Linked DNA regions of Macaca mulatta. Each later gene encodes a partner of the first gene's protein in a complex. Links are inferred from orthologs where the notes say so. Each region holds a gene or a part of one and is shown on either strand. Other genes may lie near its edges. The genes, in order: IMMT and CHCHD3.

What was found.
Region 2: IMMT (region 1) and CHCHD3 share a complex: the UniProt entries of both Homo sapiens proteins name them as parts of the mitochondrial contact site and cristae organizing system (MICOS) complex. The link is inferred for Macaca mulatta from reciprocal best matches to the Homo sapiens genes IMMT and CHCHD3.

Annotation. Positions count from the first base shown.
Region 1 is NC_133418.1:38,186,783-38,195,391, reverse strand, and holds the start of IMMT (MICOS complex subunit MIC60), read right to left. Parts: upstream 5,591-8,609; 5' UTR 5,509-5,590; coding exon 5,464-5,508; intron 1-5,463. UniProt on the Homo sapiens protein: Component of the MICOS complex, a large protein complex of the mitochondrial inner membrane that plays crucial roles in the maintenance of crista junctions, inner membrane architecture, and formation of contact sites to the outer membrane.
Region 2 is NC_133408.1:172,495,197-172,503,206, forward strand, and holds part of CHCHD3 (MICOS complex subunit MIC19), read right to left. Parts: intron 3,080-8,010; coding exon 2,944-3,079; intron 1-2,943. UniProt on the Homo sapiens protein: Component of the MICOS complex, a large protein complex of the mitochondrial inner membrane that plays crucial roles in the maintenance of crista junctions, inner membrane architecture, and formation of contact sites to the outer membrane.

The DNA.
Region 1 (8,609 bases):
TAAACTACTTTCTAGCACGTGCGGTTGGCTGCCTATCTCTATCACTGAGCAACATAATGTTTCATAATCCTAACAGAAAGAAGGAATTCTAGAAGATGATAGCTCATGTCCCCACACAAGTTCAATCCTAAACTAGCTGGGTTATCAAACTTGGTCTTAAATAAGCTGGCGTGGTTGATCCTCCAGAATAATGTTTCTTCTTCTTTCGAGTTATAAGCAGGAAAGACTACTCCATATATAAATGATCACTTTGTAGTTTGAGAGAGGGCTAGGCTAGGTGGAAAGCCCATGTCCTCCAACTCAATGACCACTTCAAAAAGGCTGGGCCTGGCAATGCAACACTGGGACTAACAGAAGAAAGATGGTGTTAGGTCTGAGAAAAAAAAAACAAAAACAGGAAGGACCAGAGTTCTAAAGCACATTTACTGAATACCCACATCTAAGGCATGCAAGGATGATAAGCCCAAACATAAAGAATAAGGTAGATACTGGGCCGGGCGCAGTGGCTTATGCCTGTAATCCCAGCACTTTGTGAGGCCAAGGCGGGCGGATCACAAGGTCAGAAGATCAAGACCATCCTGGCTAATACGGTGAAACCCTGTCTCTACTAAAAATATTAGCTGGGCACGGTGGCACGCACCTGCAGTCCCAGTCACTTGAGAGACTGAGGCAGGAGAATTGCTTGAATCCGGGAGGCGGAGGTTGCAGTGAGCCGAGATCGCACCACTGCATTCCAGCCTGGGCAACAGAGCAAGACTCCATTTCAACAACAACAACAACAAAGAATAAGGTAGATATTATCTGTGATGGTTCATTTTGTGTGTCAACTTGGATTGTGTTTTTGGATGAGATTAACATTTTAATTGGTGAACTAGTGGCCAGGCATGATGGCTCACTCCTATAATCCCAGCACTTTGGGAGGCAAAGACGGGTGGATTGCTTGAGCCCAGGAGTTTCAGACCAGCCTGGGTAATACAGCAAAACCCTGTCTCTACAGAAAAAACAAAAATACAAATTAGCTGGGTGTGGTGGTGCATGCCTGCAGTCCTAGCTACTCAGGAGGCTGAGGTGGGAGGATGGCTTGAGCCTGGTGGATGGAGGTTGCAGTCAGCTGAGATTGCACCAATGCACTCCAGCCTGGGTGACAGAGCAAGATCCTGTCTCAAAAAAAAAAAAAAAAAAAAAAAAAAAATTGCCCTATAACATGGGTGGGCTTCATTCAATCAGTTGAAGGCTCAAACACAACAAAAAGCAAGAGGCAGTTCTCTAGCAGACTGCCTCCAGACTGAAACTGCATGATCCACTCTCCTGGGTCTCCAGGCTGCTAGCCAGTGGACTGAAACTGCAATATTGGCTCTCCTAGGTCTCCAGCCTGCCAACCCACACAGCAGATTCTGGACTTGCTAGCCTCCATAACTGTGTGAGTAGAGTTCTTATGATGCATCTTCCAGTCGGGTGGTGGCTCACGCCTGTAATACCAGCATTTTGGGAGGCCGAGGTGGGTGGATCACGAGGTCAGGAGATCAAGACCATCCTGGCTAATACAGTGAAACCCCATCTCTACTAAAAATACAAAAAAAAAAAAAAAAAAAAAAAAAAATTAGCTGGGCTTGGTGGCAGGCACCTGTAGTCCCAGCTACTCAGGAGGCTAAGGCAGGAGAATGGCGTGAACCCGGGAGACGAAGCTTGCAGTAAGCCAAACCCAGCCTGGGTGACAGAGCAAGACTCCGTCTCAAAAATAAATAAATAAATAAATAAATAAATAAATCTTCCTAGGCTGAGCACTATGACTCATGCCTGTAATCCCAGCACTTTGGGGAGGACAGGGTCGGGAGATTGCTTGAGCCCAGAAGTTCAAGATGAGCTGGAACAACATTGCGAGACCCCATCTCTACTAAAAGTCCAAAACATTGGCTGGGCATGGCAGCCTAAGCCTGTAGTCCCAGCTGCTCAGGAGGTGAGGTGGGAGGATCGCTTAAGCCCAGGAGATTGAGACTGCACTGAGTTATGATCACGCTGCTGTACTCCAGCCTGGGCAACAGAATGAGACCCTATCTCAACACACGCGTGCACACACACACACCCACCACACACACACACACCCCTATTGTTTCTGTTTCTCTGGAGAACCTTAATACATAATCAGAGGTTTGAAAATATATGGGATGTTTAAAGGGAGGTCACATCCACTTACGCAGATTTAAGAAAAATTCCACTTTGGGAGGCCGAGGTGGGCATATCACTTGAGCCCAGGAGTTGAAGACCAGCCTGGGAAACACAATGAGACCCCATCTCTAAAAAATTTTTGACCGGGCGCGGTGGCTCAAGCCTGTAATCCCAGCATTTTGGGAGGCCGAGATGGGTGGATCACGAGGTCAGGAGATCGAGACCATCCTGGCTAACACGGTGAAACCCCGTCTCTACTAAAAAATACAAAAAACTAGCCAGGCGAGGTGGCGGGCGCCTGTAGTCCCAGCTACTCGGGAGGCTGAGGCAGGAGAATGGCATGAACCCGGGAGGCAGAGCTTGCAGTGAGCTGAGATACGGCCACGGCACTCCAGCCTGGGCGACAGAGCGAGACTCCGTCTCAAAAAAAAGAACAAAAAAAATTTATGAACACATTCATTCTTTCATTTATATGTCATAAACATTCACTGAGCATCTACTTGGAGCTAGGGACTATTGTCAACACTGGAAATACAGCAGTAAACAATATGGACACAGTTCCATTGTGGAGCTTACTTTTTAAAGGTGGAAACTGTGTAATAAGTACACATTATAACATCAGGTAGTGCTAGGAGCTACAAAGTATAACAAAGTAGGATGGGGTAAAGATACAGTGATGCAAGGAAGGCCAGAGTAGTGAGAATTTTATTTTGGATCAGGATGCCCTCTCTGAAGGGAAGGTGACATTTGAAAAAACACCTGAAAGGAATAAGCTAAGCAAACATGTGTGAGAAGAGTTCAGGGCAAAAGAAACAACTGATGAAAAGGCAGTGAGGCACATGCTGGAGATTACCAGGAGAATATGAGTGAGGCAGTAGAAAAACGAAATACGAGAAGAATCAGATCAAGGGCCCATGGTAAGCAGTTTAGATTTTATTATGAATGTGATGGGATGTCTCTAAAGAGCATGACCTCATGTTTGCATGTTTGCCTTTTAAAAAGCCTTTTACTATATGTCTTACTGCTTTTACTATTCCCTCCTAAAGAATGGACTCTAGGAGGCAACAGTAAAAGCAGTAAGACATTTAAGAAGATGGGGTTGGCTGGGCACAGTGGCTCACACCTATATTCCCAGCATTTTGGGAGGCAGAAGTGGGAGGATCATTTGAGCTCAGGAGATTGAGAACAGCCTGGGCAACACAGAGAGACTCTGTCTCTACAAAAATTTTTTAAAAAATTAGCCAGGGATGGCGGCACATGCCTGTGGTCCCAGCTACTCAGGAGGCTGAGGTAAGAGGACTGCTTGCGCTCGGGAGGTCAAGGCTGCAGTGAGCCATGATTGCGCCACTGCACTCCAGCCTGGGTGACAAAGTGACACTCCGTATCCAAAAAAAAAAAAAAAAAAAAAAGAAAGATGGGGTTTAATAAAGTGGAAAGGATCTTGACACGTGAGATATTCTGGATAAGTTGGCACAATCAAATACGATAAGGCTCGAGAGTCATCTGCTTGGGGATTAAAGTTCTGACAGTTGATGTAATCTCAAATTGGAGAGTCTATAGAGACAGGGAGAGATGAGAAGGTGTATATTTCGAGGTATGAAGAAGCAGCAGACTCAGTGAGGGAAAACTAGATGGGACCCAAAATATTACTTGAGAGAAGCCAAAAGTGCAGAGCCTCATAAAGCAGATGTCAAATGCTACAGAATGATTGAGGAGATGGTGAGAATAAACCAAAGAATTTTACAAGATAGCAATTTCAGGAAGTTTAGACATCTGGATTCAGAGCTATAAAAGGGTTCATTTTTTATTACAAAGTTTTAATTAGTTTTCTTATTTCCCAAATGGGATCCCAAAAACTTGACTCTGCATTAACTGAAAAGGAGGTCATCCAGGTGGGCCTGGTCTAATCACACAAGCCTTTTAAATCTGGGTCTAGAGAGGAAAGACCGAAATAAAAGAAATTTGGAAGTTAGAGAGGCAAGATCCTGGTAGCCTGCACGAAAGCAGCCATCCATGTTATGAATGGCCTCTGGAAGCCTTGAGGCAAGGAACTGTGGGTAGGCTGTAGAAGCTGGGAGCAGTGGCTGACAAGAGGCAGCAAGAAAAAAGGGACTTCAGTCGTGTAACTGCAACGGACTGAATTCTGCCCACAAACTGCATTAGCCTGGAAGAGGACCCAGATCTCCAAATGAGAACCACAGCATGGCTAATACTTTGCAGCCTTGTGTGACCTGGAGGGGAGAACACAGATCATCCATGACCAGGCTTCTATCCTACAGAACCCGTAAGGTTCTGCTAAATTTGTGGTTGTTACGTACAATAGAAAACTAACGTAGGTTCGTTCCACTTTCCTATGGAAGGGGTTGCTTCTGTTACCTAGCAGCAAATAGGAAGAGAAGCGAACTTGAAAAAACAAAGCTTGACTTTTATGATCTCTAACTCACTCTTCCTAGGGATTCTGTTCACTTACTGCTTTAGTCACAGTACTTGTTTTGCTATCTACAACATTTTGCCAAAATATCAACTTTCTGATAATCGTGAGCAATGGAAACAGGCTTTTTTATTTTCAATTTTAGAAAGTAACTTTGGCAATTACGCAAAACTAAAAGTAACTGGGTATTTAGGCTTCTTGAATGTCAAAGTAGTCCCAGCGCCTGGAGACACAGATCCCTGTCCTAATCTCAGAAATGAGCCACAAGGTCATGACTCCTGTCTTTCCTTGAAGACCAGGAGTTTCAACTCCACAAAGGAAAATCTTTCGCTTTTGTTTGGATTAAGAATAGTGCATAAGTGTTCCCAGCTGCGAAAAGAAAGGCAGTCCCTCACAGATAATTACAACCTTGACCCCTAAAATGTGGACACTCGCTAGAAGTCCAGGCACCTCCTTATTAAGGATGCAACAAGCCGCGGCTCCGCTCGTCCTGCCGGGAACTGTAGTTCTCCCCCGTCGACCTTCAGCACTAAAAACCTATCGCGCGCCCAACCGGCGACCCAGACGCCAGCAGTCAGGATTGGTCCTGGACGGGGGCAGCGCGGCGCTGATTGGACTGCACGCCCTCGAAGCCGCGCCTCCCGCTACTCTCCACACCTCACCCCGCTGCTGCAATAACCTCAAGTCATCCCAGTCTGGCGAACTCCCTGGTGGCTGCCTCGTTGCCAGCCCAGGCCTCTCCCGACGAGGGTAGCCCAGAGACTCGCCTTTGTCCTGGAGGCTAGGCAGGGCCCAAGGCTCCCCCGTTTTTCGCTGGCGGTCCTAGGTCAGCCTCCTCACGCGCCCTCGGATGCCCCAGTGCTCACCTGGGCGGCAGCGGTCACACCCGATAACTGACAGGCCCGCAGCATCTCGGTCGAGCGGACGGCACTGCTGCTGGACTCGGGAGCTGCCAAGGCGGCGCGAGTTAAGTGGAGGCGTGCTTGCGTGTGTGCGTACCCGCGTCCGCGCCCGGCGCACCGGAAGCGCAGCCGATGCCACTGCGCACGCGCGGCCCCTTCTGCCCGCAGCAACTCGGTGGCTCTTAGAGGGTGGGCTCTGTCCCGGCTGCGGAAACGCCAACGCCGGGCGATTGGTGCGCAGGAGGCGAAAAGGGCGGATTCCTTTTCCGGGTCGCGCTCGGGCTGCAGGTCCTTAGCCCGGAGCTGGGGTTACTAGGTGAACGCGGCTGGAAGGAGAGCGTTCTGAAATCCAGTCTTCAGACTCACGCGGAAAATGGACATCTGTGGCTCTTCAGAGAATTAAAGCAAAAAAGAATCTCACCTGGCTCTGTGAGCTAGATATTTCGTAGGAAGGAGCCTATTTGGCGAAAGTTACGTAAACAATGCAGTTGTCACAGGTTGCGCGTTTGTTTCGTCTGACGGCCCTTCAGGGAGTCATCCTGATTGCTGGAAACGGTGAACGAACACTGTAGGGACCCTTGTGTGGAACGTGTCAAGTGGCACAACAAGGATAGGAACACGGGTCCTTTGGACTCCACAGCTTCTGCTCTTCCAGATTAAACCACACTGCGTTCTCCAAGTTTTTACTGTAGTAATATCATTTTGGCTGCAATTTGTGGATGGGTTGGAAGATGGGAAGTCAGCGCAGAAGCACCGTTAAAAGTATTCCACTGGGCCGGGCACGGTGGCTCACCCCTGTAATACCAGCACTTTGGGAGGCCGAGGCGGGCGGGTCGCCTGAGGTCAGGAATTCGAGACCAGCCTGGCCAAAATAGTGAAACCCCGTCTTTACTAAAAAATACAGAAATTTAGCTGGGCATGCTGGCGGGTGCCTGTAATCCCAGCTACTCGGGAGGCTGAGGCAGGAGAATTGCTTGAGCCCGGGGCGGGGCGGGGCGGGGGCGGAGGTTGCAGTGAGCTGAGATCATGCCATTGCACTCCAGCCTAGGCAACAAGAGCTAAGCTCCGTATCAAAAAAAAAAAAAAAAAAGTATTCCATTGATTCGATAATCAAAATAAAACGTTAAATATTAAGCATGGTATTAATACTCCATGTATGCTCCAGAATTAATACGTTAATATTAATATTATTAACATCTTATTGCAATATCATGGAAACTAACTTTTCTATCTTGTACTGAGTTTGCAAAGTATTCCAAGTCTTAACTGGGTAATTTATTACAGTATGTATTCTCTGTAGAGGTAGGCTGCGCTATGACTTGTAACATGGAGAGAGAGACTTGAAAATTATCTAAAATCAAAGGGTTATGTTTGTATATCTTCTATGGTTTTTAGGGGACTACAGTAATTACATATACTCAGTTTCGTATCTCTTTCACTTAGCTTCCAGAGCAGTCTCCCGTTTTCTTTAGATTGAATTGCTGCCTCCCTGCCCACTGCTGTCATGCCCAATGGTGCCGGTGTGATGACTTTTCTAACACCCTTGGCTTTGAACTTCTCAATGCCAGTGAACGCTTTCATCCTGCTTCAGTCATGTACATCACAGCCACAACTTGCACCTGAACATCATTAGCAACCTCTCTAGCTTCAAGATCTCAAACTTCAAAATTAGTCTCCCAACCCCTCATAACCTATGTGGAGAGTCCTCACTCTCCACATGCAAGTTGTCAATATTTTTGCTTTAAAATGTTATCAGGGAAGCTGGGCGCTGTGGCTCACACCTGTAATCCCAGCACTTTGGGAGGCCGAGGTGGGCGGATCACCAGAGGTCGGGAATTTGAGACCAACCTGGCCAACATGGTGAAACCCCTCTCTACTAAAAATACAAAAATTAGCTGGGCTTGGTGGTGCGCGCCTGTAATCCCAGCTACTTGGGAAGCTGAAGCAGGAGAATCGCTTGAACCCAGGAAGCAGAGGTTGCAGTGAGCAGAGATCACACCACTGCACTCTAGACTGGGGCACAGAGCGAAACTCCGTCTCAGAAAAAAAAAAAAAAAGTTATCAGGGGCTGGGTGTGTTGGTTCATATCCCGGCATTTTGGCAGACTGAGGTGGCAGGATCACTTGAGCCCAGGAGTTTGATACCTGCCTGAGCAAAAGAGCGAGGCCTCTTCCAGCACTTTGGGAGGGCGAGGGGGGTGGATCACGAGGTCAGGAGGTCGAGACCATCCTGGCTAACACGGTGAAACCCCGTCGCTACTGAAAAAAAAATACAAAAAATTAGCCGGGCGTGGTGGCAGGCACCTGTAGTCCCAGCTACTCGGGAGGCTGAGGCAGGAGAATGGCATGAACCTGGGAGGCGGAGCTTGCAGTGAGCCGAGATTGTGCCACTGCACTCCAGCCTGGGCAACAGAGCGAGAGTGTCTCCAAAAAAAAAAAAAAAAAAAAAGCGAGGCCTCATCTCTACAAACAATTTTTTTTTAATTAGCAGGGGATGATTGTGCATACCTATGGTGCCAGCTACTTGGAAGGCTGTGGTGGGAGGATCCCTTGAGCCCAGGAATTACAGGCTGCAGTGATTGCACCACTGCACTCAGACCCTGTCTCTAAAAAGCAAAATTTAAATCAAATCACTCACTTGTTCAAAAATGTGCAGTGAGGCCAGGCTCAGTGGCTCACACCTGTAATCCTAGCACTTTGGGAGGCCGAGGTGGGAGAAATGTTTGATTCCAGGACCAAACAATTGAGACCACCCTGGGCTCACATAGTGAGAGCTAGGTCTCTACAAAAAAATTAAAAATTAGCCAGGTGTGGTGGTGTGTGCCTGTAGTCTCAGCTACTCAGGAGGCTTAGGTGGGAGGATTGCTTTAGCCTAGGAGGTCGAGGCTGCAGTGAGCTGTGATCGCTCAAGCCTGAGCAACAGACCAAGACCTCGTCTCAAAAAAAAAAAAAAAAAAAAAAAAAAGTGTGCAATGACTCCCATTGCCAATTCAAAGAATTTTTATGAATGTCTCAATATACTTGTCTAGCGTATGTGCCTATTTTTGGACTCAAAGTGGCCACCATAGGTGGGAGATCAAGTTGGCAACAATAGTGTTCCAAGGTAACACC
Region 2 (8,010 bases), on another chromosome or scaffold:
CTAAATGTCTCATGTCAACCCATGAGAAATTGTTGAAGAACAGCTGAAGAAACACTGATGTGAATAAGTGGATAAATAAGCAGAGAGGAACAGTAAGGCTAAGGAATATCTGGAAATTTTCCCATCAGTAAAACCTATTAGTCTCTAGAACAATGCCCCAGGGAACCCGTGAAAGGCCAATCTTATGAGTTATTTAAAAGTGGAGTGGACTTAGCCATTGGAATTATTCCATGGGGGAACCCCTTGCACTGTGTGAGATATGGGCAACACAGCCTAATGGCTTGTTGTCATGTGCAGTATTTTCCATGTTTAGCATGTCCAGCTTGTTGTCTGGATTTAACAGGAAATATAACAAGGGAATATAAGAAGTTGGCCCATGAGGAACTGCTAAATCAGGCAGTAGGGACCATGTATCTTGCTGGAGTCTCTTCAAACAATAGGGGCACAGCTGGGGTCACGAGATTAGACTAAATTCACAAGGAGCAAAAGGACAACCTGGTATTGGAGGGAAAGTAACTGCTCATGAAACGCTGACAGAAGCTCCTTCTGGCCACTGTGGCGTGATCTTAAAATGGGCCAGTGCCAAGTTGCCCCTTTCATCACAGGCTTCATCAACCCACTCCCCACGTGTGACCTTCAGACTCTGTCCCCCACTCGTTAGATCTTCCATGTTCTGTGTCCTCCCTTTATTGCTTCTGCTCTCCCTTTCCCTCACTGACTTATTTCTGTATTAGTGGATGATGGATGGATGCCCCTTCACAAACTTACCCACTCAAAAACCAAACACCACTTACGTATTTTGAAATTTTTTGTTTTTATGGCAAGGTACATCTTGGTCTAGCTGTGATTTACTATTGTGACTTCCCTGAGTTTCAATGCTCTCAACTGGAAAATGGTGAAAATAAAACCATCTCTATTTACATCTCAGGTTGTCATAAGAAAACAAGTAAAAGAATGGATGTGAAATGGCCGTGCACTCCTAACTACTGCAGAAATGTCAGGCAGTGCAGCTTCTTGGTTCTTGTCCATTTCAATGTTGCCCATCTTAGGAAAAAAGGTTTGACGGCTTCTATCTTTTTAATACTAACTTGTATTATACACCTCCTAATAACTGAATACAAGAGCCATGAAAACAATAGATACTCCAAACATACTAGCTGAAAATAACAGACTGGAGATTGAGGGGGAAAAAAGAGGGTCTCTTTTGAAATCATTAATAATAATTTGATGCTTTTGGCTGACCTGTTTAGTAAATTTCCGCACAATAATGCAACTGAGGAAAGAAGGGGAAAAATAAGATTTACTGAATACTTTATATAAAGGTAATCCTTACAACATTACCCCAATTTACAGATGAGAAAACTCAAGCCCCGAGGTCACAGAGCTAGTAAAAGGACAGGGTACAAACTCAGGTCTGCCAGATTCAAACGCGCTATCGCGCCATGTGGTGTATTTGATTTTGTCATAACTTAACTTTGCTATATTCTATAAATATATACCATTGATGTCACAGGACTATGTGTAGATAATTCAACACAACCCAGACAGGCAGGATGGGGTCAGCACTCCCAATGCCCCTGCGGCTGCCACTGTGGTAATGTTACAAATCACATGGTACAAACAGGCACGTATGTTAGAGACCAGCATTGAAACATACACTTTGTCACAGTCACTCTTTTCCACTGGCCACCACCTCAATAAGGCACTATTATCAAGTTAGAAAAATCCATGAATCAACCTACAAGTCCCAAGTCCTTCAGTTTGTATTCATATTGAAGGCTGGGGTTTATTAAGAGCATATCAGAAGCTGTTTTCGACAAATAAAATGTACTAACTTAACATCAGCAACATTACCTCTACCAAAGACCTTTAAAGAAAAGGATTCCTGGCACGCTACGAAGAGTTATGCTACAAGCAAGAAACAGAAAAAAGTTGCCAGCCACTAGGCTTTTAAGGACAACATAGGCTTTTAATAAATATTGATTATATTTTTTTCCACCAATGTTACTGTTATTTTCCAGCTATCCAGACAATACTAACCCTCCCATCGGATATTTGTAGAGTATAAAAATTTTACCCCAAGTGATATTATTATAACTACAGCAAATTAGGCTGCAGAAAGGCATGCTGTGTAACTCAAACACTAGATTTAGTTGGGTTAGAAGGTCAAATCTATGGAGTTTGTCAGCAGAAGGAATCAAGGTTTCCAACAATTTCCGCCTCTCAGAACAACCTATATCCAACGGTTAAATTGGTTAAATGATAGGCAATTATGTGACCTGCCAGAATGGATAATTTGCTTCAGGGTTTATCATTAGCTTTCTAAAGTACATAAATTAGAGAAAATGCACGTCCTGTGAACATCGTATTATTCTGATATGAAGGGTCAAGAGAAGAATATGGCTATGGTCTATAAAAGCAGTGGAATTCTTTTTTAAATGCTATCTCTGGTTTCCCTTTCCCTGTCCAATTAAGTGGACTCTGTCAAACTAGTGGAAGGGTTGGACAGTGACTGAACGGTGGGGTTTTTTTTTTAACCTGGCCCTCTGCCTGACTACCTGCTGCTTATGGGCCCAAAGGTGCCAGCTCTTAATCTGTATCCTCTTCACTGGCTCTAAATATTGGCCTCAAAGTATGAGGAATGACCTTGAGAACATTATTATTAGAAGACAAAAGCTCAGGGCAAGTGGAGAAAAGTATAATCTTAGTAGAATCCTTTTTTCTGCAAGTAAATGAGTTGAACGCAAGGAAGATATGGGCTCTTTGACAATGATCCGACAGAAGTTATGCCCTAATCAACTCATTACAGTAATTCTTGATGATGATGACTAGGGCTTAGAAAGCCTTTTCACACACAGCGGCCCACTTAGTCCTTACCACTGCCCCAGGTCATCCAGTTTTCGATTTGCCCAGTGCCCCCACTGGCCTGGCTGGCACACCTACCTGTTTGGCATGATTGACACAGTGCATATACTGGGTGGCCAGAGAGGAGCATTTGAGGGTCTGGTGGGTGTTCTCACGGTAACACTGAAGAATTTTGGCCTGCAGATCAGCACAGACTGGATGAGACTCATACCGCCTGAAAACAAACACAGGGACCGCTGAGACCAATGGTCTTCATTCAGAATAACAATCAAGGTTAAAGAATACACAAAACGTACAGTAAGACACAGATGTTGCAAATGTAGAAAAAAGTTTAAGAGAAAGAATTTTCCTTAAACTTTAAAGATAGCTAAATTTTTCCCATGATAAAAATGACAAAGGGTAAATAAATTCTAAGAAATGAGTTCCATTAACTGACACTGCTGTGAGTTAGTCTGGACAATATAACCGTCCCTTCCAAACCAAAACCGTATCAACATGCCAGAAACTTGGAAGCCCTAAGTTCTCTCTTCCATTCCCATATCCACTTGGCCACAAAGCTGGGGATCCCCGCAGCCTGGTCCTCTTGCTCCACATCACTGTCGTTCCATTGCTTCCAAGTGAGACGCATCCTGGACTCAAGAAATGACCTCCCAGCTGGTCTCTCAGCTTTGATACCCTCTTCACCTGCCCCTACACACCTTCCAGAGGGTTCTTTCCAATAGGAAATCGAAGACGGTCTCTTTCCCCAGCACTTTCTACACAAAATACAAGGCCAGCTGGCTAGTCCTTCCTGAGCAGGTTCCTGCCTACCCTGTTGCCTTCACCCCCACACCCTGCACACAGCTGAAGCCTAGACAAACCCAGTTCAGGGTTTGGTTCTTACACTTCTCTTCAGGTCTAAGCTCATGCTGCTCTTGCTTCTGGAAATGTTCTACACCCAAACTCCCACCTATGCCTATATATCTGGAGAAAACCTACTCATCCTTTGATACTTCACTCAAGTGTCAGCTTCATTAGCTCTCCACCCCCCAACCCCGGTACAGTCTATCATTCCCTTTATGGTGACCCCATTGGTTCTGTATTCACTTTTCTTGCCATGCACGTGACAGTGACTACACCATACAACCTAATACAATTTAGCAACCTACATTTACTAGAATGCAAATTCCAAGGGCTGTGACTTATTTTGTCACCTCAGCTATTAGACATGGGAACCCCTACAGAAGTCATGTAATACATTTACTCAGTGAATACAAATGGGTACAAAGAAAACATTTTAAAGTCCCTTGGGTTAAAATTTTGCTACTTATACTTACAAATCTCAGATTTTAGTCAGATTGCTTCTGTGAATATCTGAGACCAAATGTAAATGTTTCCAAAAAGCTTATAATATACGCTTGAAAAATGATAATAAACCAAATGAGTTATACAAATGAAGGTAAAATATTCTTATTAACATGGCAGGGAAGTTTGGATTGTAAGGACTAAATACATACAGAGAAAAAAAAAACACAGTACTACTACTTTTAATCTAGAAATTCATGTTTTTTCAAATTAGTTTTAATACAAGCTTCCAGTCTTATCACTTCTATTTTTGAAATTTAAATTTGTTATTTCCATAGTAATCTTGAAATCACATTATTTTAAACTTAATGGGTTCTAAAAAAAAAACCCCTAGAGAACACAGGGGGAATATTTCTCATCAATAAAGAAACCCCTGGGCGACGATTTGTCTCCTCAGTCCTTTTATCCAGTACACTAAGCTAATATCTATTTTGCTAGAATAGAAACGCAAAGCATGTTGGCAGTTCCCTGACTTCCTACTACCCTCTAAAGAACACAGACATACAGAGAAAAAAAAAAGTTTCAGCAATTTTTCTATAACATCCCTTTTACTTTTTCATTCATTACCTTACTGCTTTGTCAAATACCTAAGAACAGAATTTAAATAGAATCCCCGGAGTTTCCATGCTTTAAGATTTCAAACTTCAGATGTCTATGAATTTTTCTGGACACAGATTTCCCTAATCCTTTACCATGAACATCAGGATTTAAAAGGAATCAGTCGTGCTTCAAAGAGTATAGGCACAGATACCACTAAGTGACTAATTATAGCAAGACCTGCATCTAGATAAATATTGAATAAAATATGATTAAGCATCAGATCAGCTGAACCTAGCATATACATGACTAATGACTAATAGCTCACAGGAAAGCGGGGTTACATTGTATCCTAGTGTTGACAACTGATCCTGTCTCCAATGTGTCTCAGATTTAAAAGCAGGGGGAAGGAGGTGAGGAGGGAAGGCTAGAACAACCCTGACCAGATATGCAGCCCTTCCTCATTAACATACAGGAAAAGACTGTAAAAATGAGCAGCCACACTGCACATCATAAAGAAGACAGCGTATTTTTTCCTTTAAAAAGACTACTCACAATGGGATAATTCACCTAATGTTATGGACTCCTCAGAAAGAGGTAGTTTAAGTTGTAGATAAGCATGTATCCTGAGTTGAGCTATTAGTCATGCAAGTTAAAGTCCATGAGTTATTTATGATTTGAAATGTGTCAAAATATACTTTTATCACCACAAATCAATACTACTCACTTCCAGGGCTCTTGATTTCCCGTCTGGTGGTCTGTTCTGTGTGTGTGTGTGTGTGTGTGTGTGTGTGTGTGTGTGTGTGTGTGTGTGTGTGTGTGTGTGTGTGTGTGTGTGTAGTCATCCTCTGATATTCTTTTTGTACACATTTCAATCTGTATTAATGATTCGATGGTAGAAAGAGGGGAAGAGGATGCATAATTGTCCTCCAGCTCCTGGAGTAGACTCTGGGACACTTTCTTGGATTAATCTGTAAGGGTAAAGGTTTGCCTCTGTATTGATCTGTAAAGCTTGTTATACTGCCCTAATGCACTGTTTTCACTTTGGGAAAATGCTAAATGAGATTGCTGTCTAACATTAGAAGGCCATAAAACACAAGCCATGGCACCTTCCATTCAGGATAAAGGTTTCAAAAACATTTCCAATATGCATTATGGTAAACCCTCCATATAATCATAGAGTCAGCAATTGACTTTTATTGACTGCTTTCATTCCTGCTGATGGAAAAAGCCCCTATTAGGCAAAAATAATGAAAGGCAGACTTTCAAGATACCTAGGAAGGAAAATTCAATCTTAGCAGCAAAGGATGATTAGACAAGTTAATTTCTTTGTACGTAAGGAAGAGGCAAATAAATGGTGAATAACAATGTTAAGGATAAAATACAGATATGGAAAACTTAAAACACTAATAAAGAAGTGGGAAGATCTGATAGTTACTCAAAAACATGTTTAGCAAGAAAAAATCGGTGGAACAGAGTCAACCTTCGAAAATATACATTTAACAAAAACAAGAAAAAAAAATTCAGTTTTGTGGTCACTTGAAATTACTGGGAACCTTTCATGGATCCTACCATATGTACACACGTCTCTTTTCTTTTCTTTCTTGTACTCTTTTACTCTGCTCTTCCCTTCCTCTCCCCTCATCTCCACAAGCACTAGCAGCCCGCCCTCCCTTTGGCCCTCCCTACCCCATACAGTGGCACCAAAGGCCCAAGGGGTTGCTGACAGTACCAAAGGTAGAACTGGAGTCCCAAAGATTTGACCCCGGAACAAAATCAGAAGAAGCACTTTTGGTAGGTATTCTGTAGCCTGTCACCAGCAAAACATTTTTTGGCTAATGTTTAATGTTAATATTCACTTAAAAGGCATCTAAAAATATATATCCAAGTATTTTTTCTCATTATACTAACAGGTCTATTGTAGAAACTGTGGAAAAAGACAGAAAAGAATAAAGATACACATTTAGGCTGTTTCTAATTTTTCACTGCTTAAAAAACATGAAGGACATAAATTATTACTACCATTTCTGATTATTACCTTAGGAGACTTTCCTGTAAGTTAAATTAATTGATCAAAGAGAAACAAAAACAGTTTTAGCAAAAACAAACCAGAGGGAGTATTCAGAAGTCCCCTCTTAAGACTCCGTAACACAGTTACACTTGGTTTTCTGTTTTAAAACTATCTGTTGGTTCCACTGCTGCCTCTACTTTCAAGTCTTAGAATCTTCTTTGATGTGGGTCTGAGGTTTACATTTCAAGAAAACTACTTACCCATCTTTTTAGTTCTGCTAATGTTAATGGTGAGGATAATAAGGTAACTTCAGAGAAGGAAAAAATATGGAGATAACACTCCTCACACCACTCTCCACTCAATCAGCTGGCAGCCACAACTCCCAAGGCTCTAGAGGACACTGAAGTCACTCATTATGAGTGTAGGCATGCAAGGAAAGGATCCTTTCTCTGTACCTGAACCAGAAGTACGCTGAGAGAGTTCTACAGATACTATGATGAAAGACCAGAGAGAGGGAGAAGAGAAGGAACAAGAAGGAAAGAAGGAGGGAGAGAGAAAATGAATATGAGAATGGCTGGTGTTAAAAGGAGAATTCTAATTTTTTTTTTTTAACAGGTTGTGATAATGCATCCTTCACGGGATCAGGTGGTCTCATAAAACCATATTTTACACTAAAAGCAGACACACGACACAATCAGGGAATCAAATCTTTAGGTCTAGTTCCTATATCACAATGCAAAACTCTAATTTTTTTCTCTACCAACTTTTTATTAGCTGTTAAACCCGGTGATTAGGATTTCTGCTTTCCTTTTAAAATGCAAAACTAAAGCTACTAGGCACATTGCCAATATTTAAAAATATGTAATCCTTTACTTTTGTTTCTCTTATCACTTATAATTAATCTATTGTAAAATGCAATATAAAGAAAATATCTGAAATGTACTATATTAACTTTTTGATTTTACCTTAAATCTAAATATCCTAATATTTGTTTTCAGAGTAAAATGTAAATAGCCTCTAACAATGCAAGATCTGAAAAATTCAATTTTAAGCTTTTCTGACATTCTTAATAACTGCTAACCCTTTTATTAATGATATTTCCATTTGAGCTATAATCAAATTTCCACAATTACACTTTAGAGGGCCCTCTCTAAAGTGGTCCAAATAGCTCCAAAAGCTGCCTGCTTTGTTTCCATTTGTTTTCATATACAATTTGAGATACAATTTCTTTTGATTACTAACATGATGAATGT